Alligator mississippiensis: one gene and its partner. The protein of the gene in region 2 interacts with the protein of the main gene of each other region in a pairwise test. Links are inferred from orthologs where the notes say so. Each region holds a gene or a part of one and is shown on either strand. Other genes may lie near its edges.

What was found. The genes of interacting proteins can lie anywhere in the genome.
Region 1: the proteins of BACH2 (region 2) and MAFG interact in binary tests that used the Homo sapiens proteins (3 or more experiments, as listed by UniProt). The link is inferred for Alligator mississippiensis from reciprocal best matches to the Homo sapiens genes BACH2 and MAFG.

Annotation. Positions count from the first base shown.
Region 1 is NC_081831.1:453,815-461,486, forward strand, and holds the start of MAFG (transcription factor MafG), read left to right. Parts: upstream 1-4,629; 5' UTR 4,630-4,856; intron 4,857-5,973; exon of another isoform or gene 5,974-6,140; intron 6,141-6,298; 5' UTR 6,299-6,324; coding exon 6,325-6,360; intron 6,361-6,451; coding exon 6,452-6,904; 3' UTR 6,905-7,672. Other genes in the region: PYCR1 (pyrroline-5-carboxylate reductase 1, mitochondrial), read left to right, coding at 440-506, 590-660, 894-1,073, 1,890-2,111, 2,696-2,788, 3,144-3,307, 3,404-3,563. UniProt on the Homo sapiens protein: Since they lack a putative transactivation domain, the small Mafs behave as transcriptional repressors when they dimerize among themselves.
Region 2 is NC_081824.1:77,765,309-77,772,640, reverse strand, and holds the start of BACH2 (transcription regulator protein BACH2), read left to right. Parts: upstream 1-4,288; 5' UTR 4,289-4,867; intron 4,868-7,332. UniProt on the Homo sapiens protein: Transcriptional regulator that acts as a repressor or activator. Binds to Maf recognition elements (MARE). Plays an important role in coordinating transcription activation and repression by MAFK.

The DNA.
Region 1 (7,672 bases), on a different chromosome or scaffold from region 2:
CACCCCGGGGCGAGGCTCGGCGTCGAGCGCGGGCCCGGCCTCCGCCTGCGGCCTGGGCCAGGCCCCGCGGAAGATTCCAGAACCTGGCGCCGCCATTACGTCGGGCGCCCCGCGGGACTACAACTCCCAGCAGGCAGCGCGCCGCCGGCGTCCGCCCGCCCGCTCGCCGCGCCGCCTGCTGGGAAGTAGAGTCCGGGGGGCCCGGCCGGCTCGCGTAGGCACGGCATGATGCAATCGCCAACAAGAGTTGCCCCAATAGCGAGCGAGGCCCGGGAGGCAGGCCCCGCCCCCTGGCCCTAAGTGGCTGCGCTGGCGGCGCGGCCCCGCCTCCCCGGGCCCGGGATTGGCCGCGCTCAGCGCGCTGTGGCCGCCACGCGTCGCGGACGCGGTCCCCCAGCGCAGCGGCCACGTGGGCGCAGGTGGGCTCGGCAGCGCAACCATGAGCGTCGGCTTCATCGGCGCGGGGCAGCTCGCCTTCGCCCTGGCGCGGGGCTTCACCGCCGCAGGTGGGTGCGGGGCGCGGCGGGGGCAGGGTTGGGGATGCGGGGCGGGGCGGGGCTGGGCTGAGCGCGCTCCGTGCCGTCCGCAGGGGTCCTGGCCGCGCACAAGATCACGGCGAGCTCCCCGGACACGGACCTGCCCACGATCTCCGGCCTCAGGGTAAGTCCCGGGCCGCTTGCAGCCCGCCCTCGCCAGTGGCTCGCATCGCTGCCGCAGCCGCGCAGGCACGGCCGGAGCTAGCGGAGCCGAGTGGCTCGTGTCCCCGGGGCGAAGTGCGGCGCGCGGGGTCAGCGCTCGCTCGGACGCTGCGGGCCAGGGGCCGGGGGTCACTTGCCCCACCCACGCAGCGAGTAAAGCAAACGCAGGTGCTGTTTCCTTTCCAAATATTCCAGAAAATGGGGGTGAACTTCACGCCGAGTAACAAGGAGACGGTTAGGAGCAGCGACGTTCTCTTCCTGGCAGTGAAACCCCCCATCATCCCCTTCATCCTGGACGAGATCGGCCCGGACATAGAGCACCGCCACATCGTGGTCTCCTGCGCGGCCGGAGTCACGATCAGCTCCATCGAGAAGGTGGGTGCGGCGTGCTCCCAGCTCCGCCACGCGGCAGGAGGGGTAGGGAGAGCCTGTCCCCTGACCCGTGCTTACCGCTGCCTCGCACTGCTCCAGCTTGGGGCGCCACAGCCTTGGAACGCTTTTCCTGGAGGGCTCGAACTGTGGGGGCGCTGGCCTTGGGCCGGGCTTGCCCTCCAGGTGCTGGGACCCATTTCCGTTACCAGCATTAGCAGCAGCCGCGCGTCCCTGTTAGTCCAAGCCTCGGCTGCAGCCAACTTCTACAGGACAAAGCGTGTTCAGAGCCAGACTTGCACCTCCTGGATGGGCTAAAGCTGTCCCTGCTGCGGGCTCTGGTCCTGTGGTCCATGCGGGACCACCTGGAAGCTTAGACTAGCCCGAGATCAGAGCCCTCCAGCATCATGTCGGGTGCGCCCCTATGCCAGCGGGTGGTCAGACCCTCTGGTCTCCTGGAGTCTTGTGCTGCCTCTGGGAAGCAGCCTAGGTGTGAGGGTCACGGGAACTGCCTCCCGGGGGATTGGGGGCACTGCAGAATGCTGCCGGGATTGCGGATCAGGCAGGCTCTGCCCAGCTGCCTCCCCGGGGACGCTGCCAGAGGGGCACGTCCTCTGCAGCAAGGGTTCCCTGACAGCCCTCCTGCAGGGGTTTGCACGCATGGCAGTTGGGGGAGGTGGGTGGGGAATTCCCTTCCACTGCCCCCTTGGACTCCCTCTGCCCCCCGGGAGTTTCTGGGGGAAACTTCACATGCAGAGTGTATGTTCAATCTGTCCATGTCTCTCTCTCCTCCCCTCTGTGTCCAACCCTTCCCACCCCAAGAAACTCTCTACCTTCTGTCCCACCCCAAAAGTGATCAGGTGCATGACCAATACCCCTGTGATCGTGCGGGAGGGCGCCACAGTCTATGCCACTGGGACCCATGCTGAGGTGGAGGACGGGAAGCTCTTGGAACAGTTGATGGCCAGCGTGGGCTTCTGCACGGAGGTGGAAGAGGACCTGATCGATGCTGTCACGGGGCTCAGCGGCAGTGGCCCTGCTTACGTAGGTGCCACTCCTGTGGTTTGTAGAAGTCAAGAGGGGAGTAACGAATGTTCGATGCAGGGAACATGCCTACAGCAATAAGAAAGTGTCCAACAAGGCTGCAAAGCTGACGGAGCAAAGGCCTGAATTTCTGACTGTCCACCCTTGTGACGGGGTTCCGGTTCAGGAAGAGGCTGAGGTCTCTTCCCAGTTCCTGGTGCAGGAGCGTCTGCATCGCCAAAGTGGCTCAAGATCATTGACAAGCAGCCCAGTTAACCTCGTGGTCGGGTCTCGTGCTGAGACTGGAGTGGCCACGGGGCTCAACTCCTCTGCCCCCGGATAGAAGCATCCTTGTGGCAGGGAAGCGTGGCTTGGTGCCCACCTCATGGGGGAGGAGGAAGCTCCCAGAGCTGTCTATTCTGGGGGCATCATCTGCTTGAGGGGCACTGAGCAGGGAGCAGGTTCCCAAGTCCCCATAGGTGTTAGGGAGTCCAGAGTGGCCCTGGGACTTGGGCTCCATCCCTTCTCCTGGGGGTGACGGAGCCTTTGGGGGACCGGCCATTCTTCCAACCTGAAGTTCGTCTTCCTGCTGTTCCCGGTCCCAGGCATTCACAGCTCTGGACGCTCTGGCAGATGGAGGCGTGAAGATGGGACTTCCCCGCCGGCTGGCTGTCCGGCTCGGAGCCCAGGCCCTGCTGGTCAGTAGCTGCCCCTCGAAATTGCTCAGTTCATGCTCGCCTGCACCGAGCAAAGCCGGGGTTGACTGAACTCACACCCAGCACGTCTCACTGCAGGAGGCTGCCTGGTCAGAGTTGGCTTGGGGACACCTGGTGTGTGGAGGGTCCCTGAGGTTCCTGCTGGGGCTGTTGGCTCTGTGGCAGGTTGGGTGAGCAGGGGAGGTTTACCTCTGAACTGGGTTTGTGATGGCCTGGCCAGTGCCCATGAGGAGAGGGCCCAGGCTGGCTCAGAGCAGCTGTCCAGGCATTGCTCGTGCAGGGTGGGCAGCAGGTCCCTCAGTCGGATGCTGACTGTGTTTCCCCTCTGACCCCAAAGGGCGCAGCCAAAATGCTGCTGGAGTCGGAGCAGCACCCTGGGCAGCTGAAGGACAACGTGTGCTCGCCGGGGGGGGCCACCATCCATGCTCTGCACTTCCTGGAAAGCGGGGGCTTCCGCTCGCTCCTCATCAACGCTGTGGAGGCCTCCTGCATCCGGACACGGTGAGCATGGGTGCCCCCAGCCTGGGCCCTGCTCAGCGCTGCCATTCCTCACTCCTTTCCTCCCATGAGTGACGTGATGGGTGCTGTCTCCCGCAGGGAGCTGCAGTACCTGGCAGATCAGGAGAAGATCTCCCCAGCAGCCATCAAGAAGACCCTGCTGGATAAGGTGAAGCTGGAGTCTCCGTCCGTCTCCACGGCCTCTGCCAGCAAAGTCAGCCTGTTCAGCAACAGGCACCCCGGCAGCAAGAAGAACTGAGGGGCCCCGGCTGCTGCTGCCCCTCCTGCAGGCGCTCCCTTCTCTCTTTCAGGAAAAGCTCTAGCTCTAAGCGCTTGTGGCTCCTCAGCTGGGAGCGGGGCTGAGGGCATCGGCAGTGGCACTTCCTCTCCTACGGTCAGGGACCAGACCTTGCCCAGCCTTGTGTCCTCTGGGCAGCAGCACCCCCCCCAGCCCTGCTGCTGGAGCCCCTGGGCTGCGTGGCTGGGCGGTTGCAGAGTGGCCTCTGGTCCCCCTTCCCTGGCCCAGCTCTGCACCTGTGTCTTCTGCCTTTTCTCTGGGCACTGGCTCTTGTCTAGGTCCCTGCAGCTTCGTGGGTGGAGGAAGCGCTGTGAGGGCGTGAGGAGGAACACGAGCTGTGGGGACAGGCGCCAGGCCTCTGCTCACTTTGCTTCATGGTTTTATAAGGCCCAAAGGAAGCAAGGGACCATGGAAAACAGGGGGTGGAAGGGGCCTCAGGTGCCCCTAGCCCAGGCTGCTCCCTCCACCCCGCTGCCAGCGGCTCCTGGTTGCTTGTGCCGGGGGCATGGAGCCGGGCAGGCACCGCCGGTCACTGCTGCGTGCCGGCTGCTGGAGCGGGTGCGGGGCCACGCCAGCCCCACGGGCTGCAGCAGCTGAGCAGCTTGCATGCCGTGGCGGGCTGCGTGGCCAGGTCTGGGGGGGCGAGGGCCAAGAGCTGCCCCCCACCCGCTGCCTGGGGAAGGAGGAGCAGGGCTGGGGCCACCCCCTTGGCCTGTGGCAGGGTAGGCTTTCCCGCCACGTCGCACCGTCCGGCCGCGCTCGTGGGCGCCATCATGAGCGTTGTCGGGGGGGGGGCCTGCTCCGCGCACCCCCGCGGTTCGGGCGGGTCCTGGCACGGCCCCGAGGGGCGCCACGAGCTGCTGCCCCTTCGCCGCTCGGGGAGGAAGGGGCCGGGGCGGGGCGGGCGCGCGGGCTGCTGTCCTTCGTGCAATAAACAACCTCTTGCTTCTCGGCCCCAGGCTGCTGCGGTCTCGCCTCTCGCTGCCCCCGCGCCGGGGGGGGGGTGTCCCGCGTGGGAGGGGGAGGCAGTTCACGCGCCTCCCCTTTAAGGCGGTGGCCCCACGGTTTGTGCCCGCCGACGCGAGCGGCCTCCCCCTTAAGGCTCGGGGCGGTTGCGCCGGGGCTCATGAATGGAGCCACGTGACCCAAACATCACGTGACGCGTCCGTGAGCGGCGGCGGCGGCCCCGGAGTCCCGGCACCTCCCAGCGCCCCGGCCCGGCCCGGCCCGCGCCCCCCGCCCCCCCGCCGCACGGTGAGCGCCCCCGGCCCGCCACCCCGCCCCGCCCCGCCCCGCCGAGGCACGCGGGGCTGCGCTGCCCGCTCTCCGCCCCGAGCGCGGCCCGGGTGGGGCTTGCGCCTCCCCGCCGAGCTGGGTCCCGGGGGCGGCGGCCGGGGCCGGGGTGGGCGGTGGGCGCGGCCCGGGACACCGGCGAGGCACCTGCCCGCGCCCGTCCCCGTCCCCGCCGGGCCGAGTGTGCGGTGGTGGCTTCTCCGTCGCGCGCGGGGCCGCAGAGCCCCCGGCCGGCCCACCCGCCCCCCGCGGCTGCGGGCCGGTGCCTGCCCGCTCCTTCCCGCGCTGCCCTGCCTCCCAGCGGCGCGGGGCTGGAGGCGGCTGCGCGGCCCGGTCCCGGCGGGGCGCGGCCCTCGGGTCCCCGCTTGGCCCCACGGCTCTCAGCGGGCCTGTGGTGCGGTGCCGCGCTGCGCGGTGCCGCGCGCTGGACCTCGCGGGGTGCCCGGGGGGAGCGCCCCCGTCGGAGCCTGCTCCCGCAGGCGCTTCTGTCCCGGGCGGGTGGCCGGCGCCGGCGGGGCTGGCAGCACCGCGCCCTGGCGCTGCGCTGCGCTGCGCTGCGCGGGGCGGAGGGCTCCGGGGGAGTCGCTGGCCTGGCTGGGGCCCGGGGCCTGGCGCGTCGAGGGCTGGAGCCCGAGGGGACGAGGCTGCCCGGGGCAGAGCGCTGCTGGGGCCTGGGCGCTGTGGAAGCAGACCTGGATGCTGGCTCTGGGGGGGCCGTGCCAGGGGAGCGGCGAGGCAGGGCGCTGTGCAGCCTGGCCGGGGCCCGCGGTGGTCTGGGCTGCGCGGTCCGGCGCGTTGGGCGCGGGCGCTGCTCTGCAGGTCGCTCCCAGGGTGCGGGGAGCCCGTGCACCGCGGTCACGGCGGGGGGAGGGGGCGAAGCTGCAGGGCCGCCGGCCCCGTCTCCTGCAGCATCTAGAACTTGCTGTGACCTTTGACCCCGTCCTAAAAGGGTCCTGGGGGCGGGAGCCCTCTGGCAGAGGACACTGGCTGCGCCTGGCTGGCTTGTTGTGCTGGGGATTAGGAGGACGGAGGGGGTGGGAGCGGGAGGCGGGAGATTGCCAGCGTGCTGAGTCAGCGTGACTGGCTGCTCTGGACCCAGCCCGCGGCTGCTCGGCTATTTTTAAAGATGTGGCTTCCTCGTACGCTGACTCCTCCCAGCGCTCCCGGTCTCCCCCTTCCCGTCAGCATTTGCCTCCAGTCCTCACAGGAGGGTGACAGGAGGGAGATGAGCGGCAGCAGCTCCTCGTGAGTCTGGCTGCAGCGTGGGGTGGGGGCAGGTGCTTGGTGCTCCCTCGGCCGTGCCCTTGCCCTCTCCCCGGGCTCCGCCGGGTGCGGAGAGGGTCAGACGCCCCTGGGGCCTGGAGCGCGCGAGCGACCTCTGACCCCCTCTGCTCTCTCCTCAGATCCTGACTGACGAGGCTGTCGTGTTATGACGACCCCCAACAAAGGAAACAAGGCCTTGAAGGTAAAGAGGCTGGGGGCGGGGGTGGGGGCTGGGGCTGGGTCCAGGGGGCTGGGGGCAACAGGCTCAGCACCATTCGTGTCCCCTCTTCCAGGTGAAGCGGGAGCCAGGCGAGAATGGGACCAGCCTGACGGACGAGGAGCTGGTGACCATGTCTGTGCGGGAGCTGAACCAGCATCTGCGGGGCCTGTCCAAGGAGGAGATCATCCAGCTGAAGCAGCGCCGGCGCACACTCAAGAACCGCGGCTACGCGGCCAGCTGCCGTGTCAAGCGCGTCACGCAGAAGGAGGAACTGGAGAAACAGAAGGCAGAGCTGCAGCAGGAGGTGGAGAAGCTGGCCTCGGAGAACGCCAGCATGAAACTGGAACTTGACGCCCTGCGCTCCAAGTACGAGGCCCTGCAGAACTTCGCCCGGACCGTGGCGCGGAGCCCCGTGACCCCTGCCCGCGGGCCCCTGGCCTCTGGCATGGGGCCGCTCGTTCCGGGAAAAGTGGCCACCACCAGCGTCATCACGATAGTGAAATCCAAAACGGACGCCCGGTCGTAGTAAAGCGCGCGCTCCCGGCGCTGGTCTGTGCAGGGCCGTTAGGCACGCGGCCGGCCTGGACCCCCGAAGCACAACCCCCTTCCTAGCCGGGCCAGGGCTCCATCCACATGGCCCAGGACCAGCCCGCGGCTCACTCCGGTGTTGTGTGTTGTTTTGTTCAGATAGATGTGACCAGTGGTGATGTGTCCCCTGTGCTGTGCGAGCAGAGCCTCCTGCCCGGGCCGGCAGGGCAGAGATGGTGCTTGGCCTTGGCATCCTCGGCACAGACCGTCCGTGCAGCGAGGAGGAAGGTGTGATGGCGGAGGCCTGCGGCGCCACCCGTCTTGGGGAGGGGGGGCTCTGCCGCAGGGGGCTGGGAACACTGAAGTCAGTTGCTCCCGACAGCTTTATTCCATTGCGCTTCCCAGGGGTGCGTCACGGCACCCGTCTGCCATGTGCCCAAATCTGCTGCTTCTATCTCGTGTGGTGCCGGTGGCTGCAGTGGGGATTGGTCCGGGGGGCTGATTCTGTGCTCACCTCCTAGGTGCGTCCCCTCCTCACCCTGAAGGGGGTTGTCTTGGCTTCCACTGTGTCAGTCGCATGACCCCACGGCAGTGGACAGGGGTGCTGCAGCTCCCCGGTTCCTCTGCTGTAAAGCTGGGGAGGAATCCAGGACTGGGCATGTTTGGGGCTAGGGGAGGGGGGGCAGTACCCGGGGTGGGGGAAGGCTCCCCGGTGACTGAGGGCCGGTTTTGTGCCTAACGCATTGCACTGAACAAGACCAAACTC
Region 2 (7,332 bases):
GATTCACTCATGGAATGTCTCCCCCAAACTCTGCAAGGTTTACTATGGAACATGCATGTGAAACTGATGATATAAGAAACATAATGCTTGCTTTCAGAAGCTCTCTGAAAGTGTGCGACTAATACAATGGTATTATTTTTGACACTCAGTTCTATCAAAATTAATTCGTTTTGCATCCCTTTGGAAGGCAAAGCAATGGAGGCAAACATTTTAAGCCCTTAGTCCTGTAAACCAATGCTGCTCATCCTTTTGGTGCCAAAGGCTGGACAAATGGCCTGGGGCCAGTCTGCAGGCCACATCATGACCCATGTGCCAGGATCAGACTCCACTCCGCCTCCCTCAGCTCGATTGGGGCCCAGGCCACATCTCCACACTGATCTAGCATGCTCTCCAGCATGCAGGGCTCCCCTGGACCCAGAAACTTGGCAGCAGAAAAGAAACGCTTGTTGCTGCTGCTCCCTTGCCATCAAATTTTGAGACTGAGACCCATTGGGGCCCCTGAGGGCTGGATAGTATAGTTCTGTAGCCTGGATCTGGCCTGTGGACTGAGGCTTGAGCTCAGCTGTAAACAACTGAATACCTGAGTAGACTCATGGCATTGAATTAGACTTGTAATATGATTAAAACAAGGTGTGTGTACACATACATGTTTTCATGACCAGGGCCAAAAAACCCAGCTATGAGCAGTATTTTACCTGAATAATAGACAGAAAATCATAAATTTGGGGGCAGATTACATTCATTTTCTGCAGCTGCATATCTTCACAAAGTTGACAATACTGGATAATCAATACCAGAAAAATCACACTATGTACTCTACCCTGAGTAAAATGTTGACATTGTATGTTTGTGTGAAGTGCCATTAATTACGCTTGAAAATACAGCCCATCAGATGCAGCAACTCTAATCTCAGAAGGGGGCATCAGAAGTTCCTCTCCACATACAGCTGTTGGATGAGATGGAAAATAACATTCTGTAAAATCACAGTAACATAAGAGAATGTTTCATAGTTTCATAGTTGGCAGGGTCGGAAGGGACCTAAGCAGATCATCAAGTCTGACCTCCTGCCTTGGGCAGGAAAGGATGCTGGGTTTAAATGACCCTGGCTACGTGGCTGTCTAGCCTCCTTTTGAAGACCCCCAGGGTAGGGGTGAGCACCACTTCCCTTGGAAGTTGGTTCCAGATCCTAGCCGCCCTGACTGTGAAGTAGTGCCTTCTGATATCTAGCCTGAATCTACTCTCAGTCAACTTATGGTTGTTGTTCCTTGTTACCCCTGGTAGTACTCGGGGGAACAGGGACTCTCCCATTGCCTGCTGGTCCCCTTTGGCAAGTTTATAGGTGGCCACCAGATCCCCTCTCAACCTTCTTTTGTGGAGGCTGAACAGGTTCAGGTCCCGTAGCCTCTCCTCATAGGGCCTCCCCTGCTGCCCCCTGATCATCCGAGTGGCCCTCCTCTGGACCCTCTCGATGCTGTCCACATCCCTCCTGAAGTGCAGCGCCCAGAACTAGATGCAGTACTCCAACTGCGGCCTGACCAGTGTCACATAGAGGGAGAGGATCACCTCCTGGGACTTGTTCGTGATGCATCTGTGGATGCATGACAAGGTGCGGTTAGCCTTCCTGACCACGTTCCCACACTGGCAGCCCATGTTCATCTTGGAATCAATAGTGACTCCAAGATCCTTTTCTGCCTCTGTGCTGACAAGAAGGGAGTTCCCCAGCCTGTAGGTATGCTGCTGGTTCTTCATCCCCAGGTACAGTACCTTGCACTTGTCCGTGTTGAAACCCATCCTATTATCATCCACCCACCTCTGTAACCTGTCCAGATCTAGTTGTAGCCTATAGAATGAAAATAAACAATCTGACATAAGACCCCCAAAGCATTCACAAATACAGAAATGTTAAGTACTAATTGTAGCTTTGTCTGCAACAAGCCAACATTTATTGTATATTCTCTTGGGAATATTTTCTTTTACATTTTAGTAAAATGTAAAAATCCCAGTTCGCTAAATCCCTCAAGTGCTAATACCTCATTCAGAGCTCCTGGTGTGAATCATTTGCTTGCTTACTTTCATCTTTAACAGGATCCCTTTAATCTAAAATGTTCTTCTCACCTGAATGTGGTTACATATGGTGGAGCACCTTATTGGCTAACCCATTAAGAGGAACAGCATTTCTACAGCCTACTTCCTGAGATGCTTTCATATAAAGGCTTCTGCCTCTGAATGAGCTAATTTAGATGGTGCCATATGCCCTGCCTTCTATCTAACTTTAGACTACCATGGCAAATTACCTTTCTCACGGTTACATACATTAGGCGTACTAAATTCTGTTTACTCCTGTTCTAATGTTAGTATTTATAAACTCAGGATTTCATCCCAAATCTCATGGTATATGGCATTTTTTTTAAAGCCCCTGCTGCTTGACTCAAAGTGACTGCACAAGAATCTCAGCCTTCACTTTTTTTGAGGTTGATGGCGGGGAGGGGAGACTGGAAAATATTTGCTTGCACATCTTCAAACCCAGAATACAGGGCAAAAGAACCCAATCTCTCATGTTATTTTCAGGCTCTTTGGGCTCTTTTTTTAGCCATTCTTCTGATCTGATGGGAGGTGACCTCTTCTTCCTATTCTTCTGATCTGGTGGGAGGCCACCCATCCTAGTGGGATATATGGGTCTGGAAATGTGATCTGGGCAGGAGATTTTCAGGGACCTGGTCAGGTCAGGGTGTTTTCTGTGTCCTTTCATCGCATCTGATGAAGTAAGCTTCAGCTCATGAAAGCTTGTGGTACAGATAAATCAATAGATGGATAGATGGATCTACTTTGATTAGTCTACAAGGTGCATATTGTCATGACCCAAAGGTCTGATTTTGTGTGTGCTTCAGCACTAGAATTATCCCCGTAGGTTTACAGCTTCATTGCACAGTGAGTTTTGCTGTACAGAGAACCTGCGTGCAAAGGAGAGAGTTCCCGCCACTTTGCAGCTGTCTTTGCAGGGTGCATTTTCTTTGCAACACAGAAATGCACGGTGCAAAGAGTTCCCGCTCTTCGCATGCAAATTTGTGTCCCGCTATTGGCTAGTTCTAAATTATTCCCACATGGCGGCTAGCGATTGGCCTGCTAGCCATATAAGAGGCTTGAGCAGTTTCCGCCCAAGCCGAAGAGGACTCCACATCCATCTCGTGGGGACTCTGGGCACACGGCAGGGTCATCGAAGCCCTGAGTGTTACTCAGAGGAGTTTGGAGGCCTGATCCACCGCCCACCTCTTCCCGTTTTTGAGCGGTAACTTTCTATAAGACGTATCGACGAGTTTTCTATTTTGAGGCGCGCTTGTCCTGGACATCCGGAGTTCTGTCTACGTGGAGCCTAGCAAACTCCATGTGATAGTTCGTGTTTTCTGTTTGTAACCGCAACTCAAACAAGTTTTTCAGCCTGCACCGCGACCATCTCGGTGTAAGTAAACAATCTTAAAATCAACCGTTACGTGTCTGTGCCTAATTCTAGCTCGGCGCCCGCCCTCTCCGACCCGGCGTGCCCGGGCTGCCGGCCACAGCCCGCGTGCAGCGCGACAAAGGGCCCGGGTTCACACCCAGCCGGCACACAATTCTCCCCTGCCTTCTATAGACCAGGTAGCCTGGAATCAACATGGGGAACCGCCCTCCGGTCGTGTTGATGCAGGGGTGACTAGATTCGGAGCCCGGCCTGGCAAAGCACCATGGCAGCTTTGTCATGCTGTGGCCCTAGGTCACTATCCTCGGTTCTCTAGACCATTTTGGCTTGAGCCTCTGCTCCATGCCCTGATGGGCCCAGCTCCATGAATCCTAGCAGAGTGGGTAGGTGGATGGTGGGGGAGTGGGGTAGGAGAGTGAGGTGGGGGGAGGGTGTGGGAAGGGGCTGTGTGTGTGTCTGTGGCAGGGGAGTGGGGCAGTGTGTGGGTGTGTGTGGTTGGGGCATGGAGTGGGAAGGGTGCGCGTGTGTGTGGTGGGGGAGTGGGTCAGGTGTGTGTGTGGTGAGGGAGTGGGTGTGTGTGTGTGGCAGTGGAGTGGGCCAAGGGGGGTGTGTGTGTGTAAGGGAGCACAGGCCAACCACAACTTGCCCTTGTCCTTCTTGGACAACCAGTGAGCTCATCTCACCGCCCCGCCCCTCCCCTCCTCAGGGTCAGCGGGAACTACAACTCCCAGCGTCCCGTTCGGCCGCGCGCGAGACGCCGCGCGGACCCGGCGCGATTCTCTCTCCGACAACCCGGGGCGGGGGGGAGGATGCGCATGCGCCGAGGGTCCCGAAGCGGCGCTACGCGTGTTGCCGTGCGTAGAGCTGCTGTCCGCTGAGGCGGCGGAGTGCTACGTGGTTTGCGTAACGCACTTGTGAATGGGGAAGGCGGGGGGCAGGGGGATGATGTCAGCCTTCGAATGTCAACAATGTAGCGATTGAGGGAGGAGGCGCCGCAGCAGGAGCGGAGCGCGGGGAGCGGGTGGCCGCACACCGGGGCCGCCGCCGCACGCGCACCGCCGCCGCCGGGCTGCCCGGGACTCCAGCCGCCGCTGCCGCCGCCTCGCGCCGCGCCCGCCCCGGCTGCAGCAGCAGCAGCTCCTCCGCGGTGCCGTCGCGCCTCCCAGCTGCTGCAGCCGCCTCCGCTCCTCCTGCCCCCGCCCGCCTCTTCCCAGCCGCCCCCTCCCTTTCTTCCCCGCGGCAGGACGGGGAGCAGCGCTCGGCAGCCCGCGCCATGTGATGCGCGTCTCTCCGGGGGCAGCTCGCGGTGCGCGCCTTTGAAGCACCCCCCTCCGCCGCCGGGAAACAGCCCGGTCCTCCCTGCCCGGCCGCCCCCACCTCAGGGGGAGCGACCCAAAGTTGCATTCAGCCAAGGTGAGTGCTTTTCTCCCCGCCCTCCCTCCCCCTCCGCGCCCCCACTGCTCCTGGGAGGGGATGGATGGGGATGAAGTTTGCAGGGGTAGGGGGCTGCAGCTGGGACGGGCTGCATCGGTTTGGTGTCTCCTGAAAGAAGAGGAAAGCTTGGGGGGTCCCTTCACCTGCCCGGCGGGGGGGGGCCTACCTGCCCCCCTTTAACCCCTTCCCTGGGCAGGAGGCTGCTCAGCCCCATCTGCCAAGTGGGGAGTGCGCGCAGGTTGCGTCACTGAGAGTGGGCAAGAGGCACCCAAGTCTCTGTGTGTGCCTCCAGCTGTGTATGTCCCTCCAGCTGTGTGGGGCTGGGGAGAACATGATGGCTGGGTGTGAAGGAGGAGGGGGCGGGTGTTGCAGGGGGCGACTGCCTTTCATTGCATGAGGGGGGAGAGTGCTGCCCTTGGGGTGGGTGTGCAAGGAGGAGCAGGGGGCGGGGGGCTGGATTTGTGGGCCCTGAGTAAAGGCGCCGTCAGATTTGGAAGGATCCTAAAGACCCCCTTGGGTCGTGTGTCATGTCCCCCGTCTCCCCCCCCCCTCATCTGCTGGGTGCTTTTCACTCTTTTGTGCCCCAGATCCGAGCAGCAGGGCAGGGAGAAAGGGGGGGTGGGTCCCATCCCCATGAGTGTGAGCAGGGCTGAATTTGGGGCTTAGGTTCCCTCCAGAGCAACCCCTCCCCCCAGCACACCTGCAGGGAATGCTCCCACCTGAGCTCTTTCTGTCTAGGGGTTTCTGTTATGGATCAGGAGCCACCCTGTTGCTTAGTGCCCTGGTGTCCCCCTTCCCCCAACCCCCACACACACTCTTCCTTGGTGCAGGCAGTGTGCAGTGAAGTGTTGGGGGTCACTTCCAAAGCTGCTGCCTGGGGGGACTGAGTCACTGCTGCTGCTTTCCTGCTTCTGTGGTTTGTCTAAGATTGCATTGGGGTGTTTGGAGGGGGCTGTCCCCCACATGCACCTGGGGCTCCAACTCTGCTGTAACTTGACCACAAGTTGTTGCCACAAACAACCATAGATGTATTTTTTATTTGACGCACTCAACACAGTTGGCAACTGACTCTACTCCCTTGGAGGTGCCTTTGTGGCAAGCAAGAACCTGCTTTAAATAGCCAAGCATCTGCTCCAAACTTCTTCATGGTTGTGTATCAGGCAGCACCTTTTCTTAAGAGCAGTGTCTCTATATCAATTTAATCAGTTCAGTGTACTAAACCAAAAAAAAATTAATTACTCCCCATAAAATCTTTCCTGTCTGTTGGGAACCTGACAAGAGATGAAACTTAATGAAATACTTTTCTCTCTTTTTTTTTCTGGTTTGGAGTAAAACTGGAGAGAGATGTTAACTCTGATAATTTTCTTGGATCACTAAAACATAGCATGTAGGTAAGGCAGTTAGCTGCAGAGGCTCTGGCTGTCATGAAAGTAGCTAAGTGTGAAATCATGCCTCGCCTTTTGTGGAACAGGCTATTTTTATAATACAGCGGGTGTCTTCCTTAAAAATGCTTTGGTTATTGTGAGATCACCGTGCTCTTATTACTGAAGCCCTGCCAGCTCTGGAGTAAACGACGTTTTTCATTCTTGAAGATAATCATAAATGTGAGGCAGAAATGACACCTTATTAGAATTAGTCTTTAGTCTGTTGGGAAGATTGCTAAATTATAGTGTTGCTGTTTTCTCTGCCATGGTTGAAGACTTGTCAGTGTTTTCATGACAAAAAAAATTTTTTTAGGTCTTTGGAATTGTCATAAATGTGTGCATTTTAATTCAGTATTCAAAGGCTTGAACTGGGAGTGGAATTTTTCTTTGCAGGTGGATTTGTATGAGATTTTGTTTTGGCTGCATGCAGTGGTGTATTGTTTGGAGGTGGTGCTTTGTATAATGTGACGGGGGTTTTTTGTATATGAGGAAATTGGCGTTTTGGTAAGAAACAAGGAGTAGTTGCTTTTAATACTATGGATAGAATAAAATTGCCAAGGAAACATGTTAAACCATTGACTCCTGGGCTAGTATTAGTAGTGCTTCTTTAACATTTTAGAAGATACGTCATCCCATAAATCAAAACTGTACATATTTTTAAGATGCATGCACATTCTTTTGAAAATCTGAATTAGCTTTGCATCCTCTTGCACGGGGTTCATCAATAGTATGTCATTGCCCGTATAGCAGGTGGACTGCCATAGTTGAGCATGAAAATGACACTAAAAGCATGTATCCTATATACTATGGTGAAATACTATCTAACTCCAAAAGCTAATTTGATGGTGTTGAATGCCATCTGCACAAAATGGAAGGAAACCCTGTCTTGTCACAGTAGGGGATTGGGAATTAGGATTACAAATTTCTGTCTCTAGATCAGTGGTTCTCAACCTTGTAAGACTCAAGGCACTACTTGGAAAATGTCAGCTCTTAGCTTTCCTTCAGTTTTTGGCTATGGAA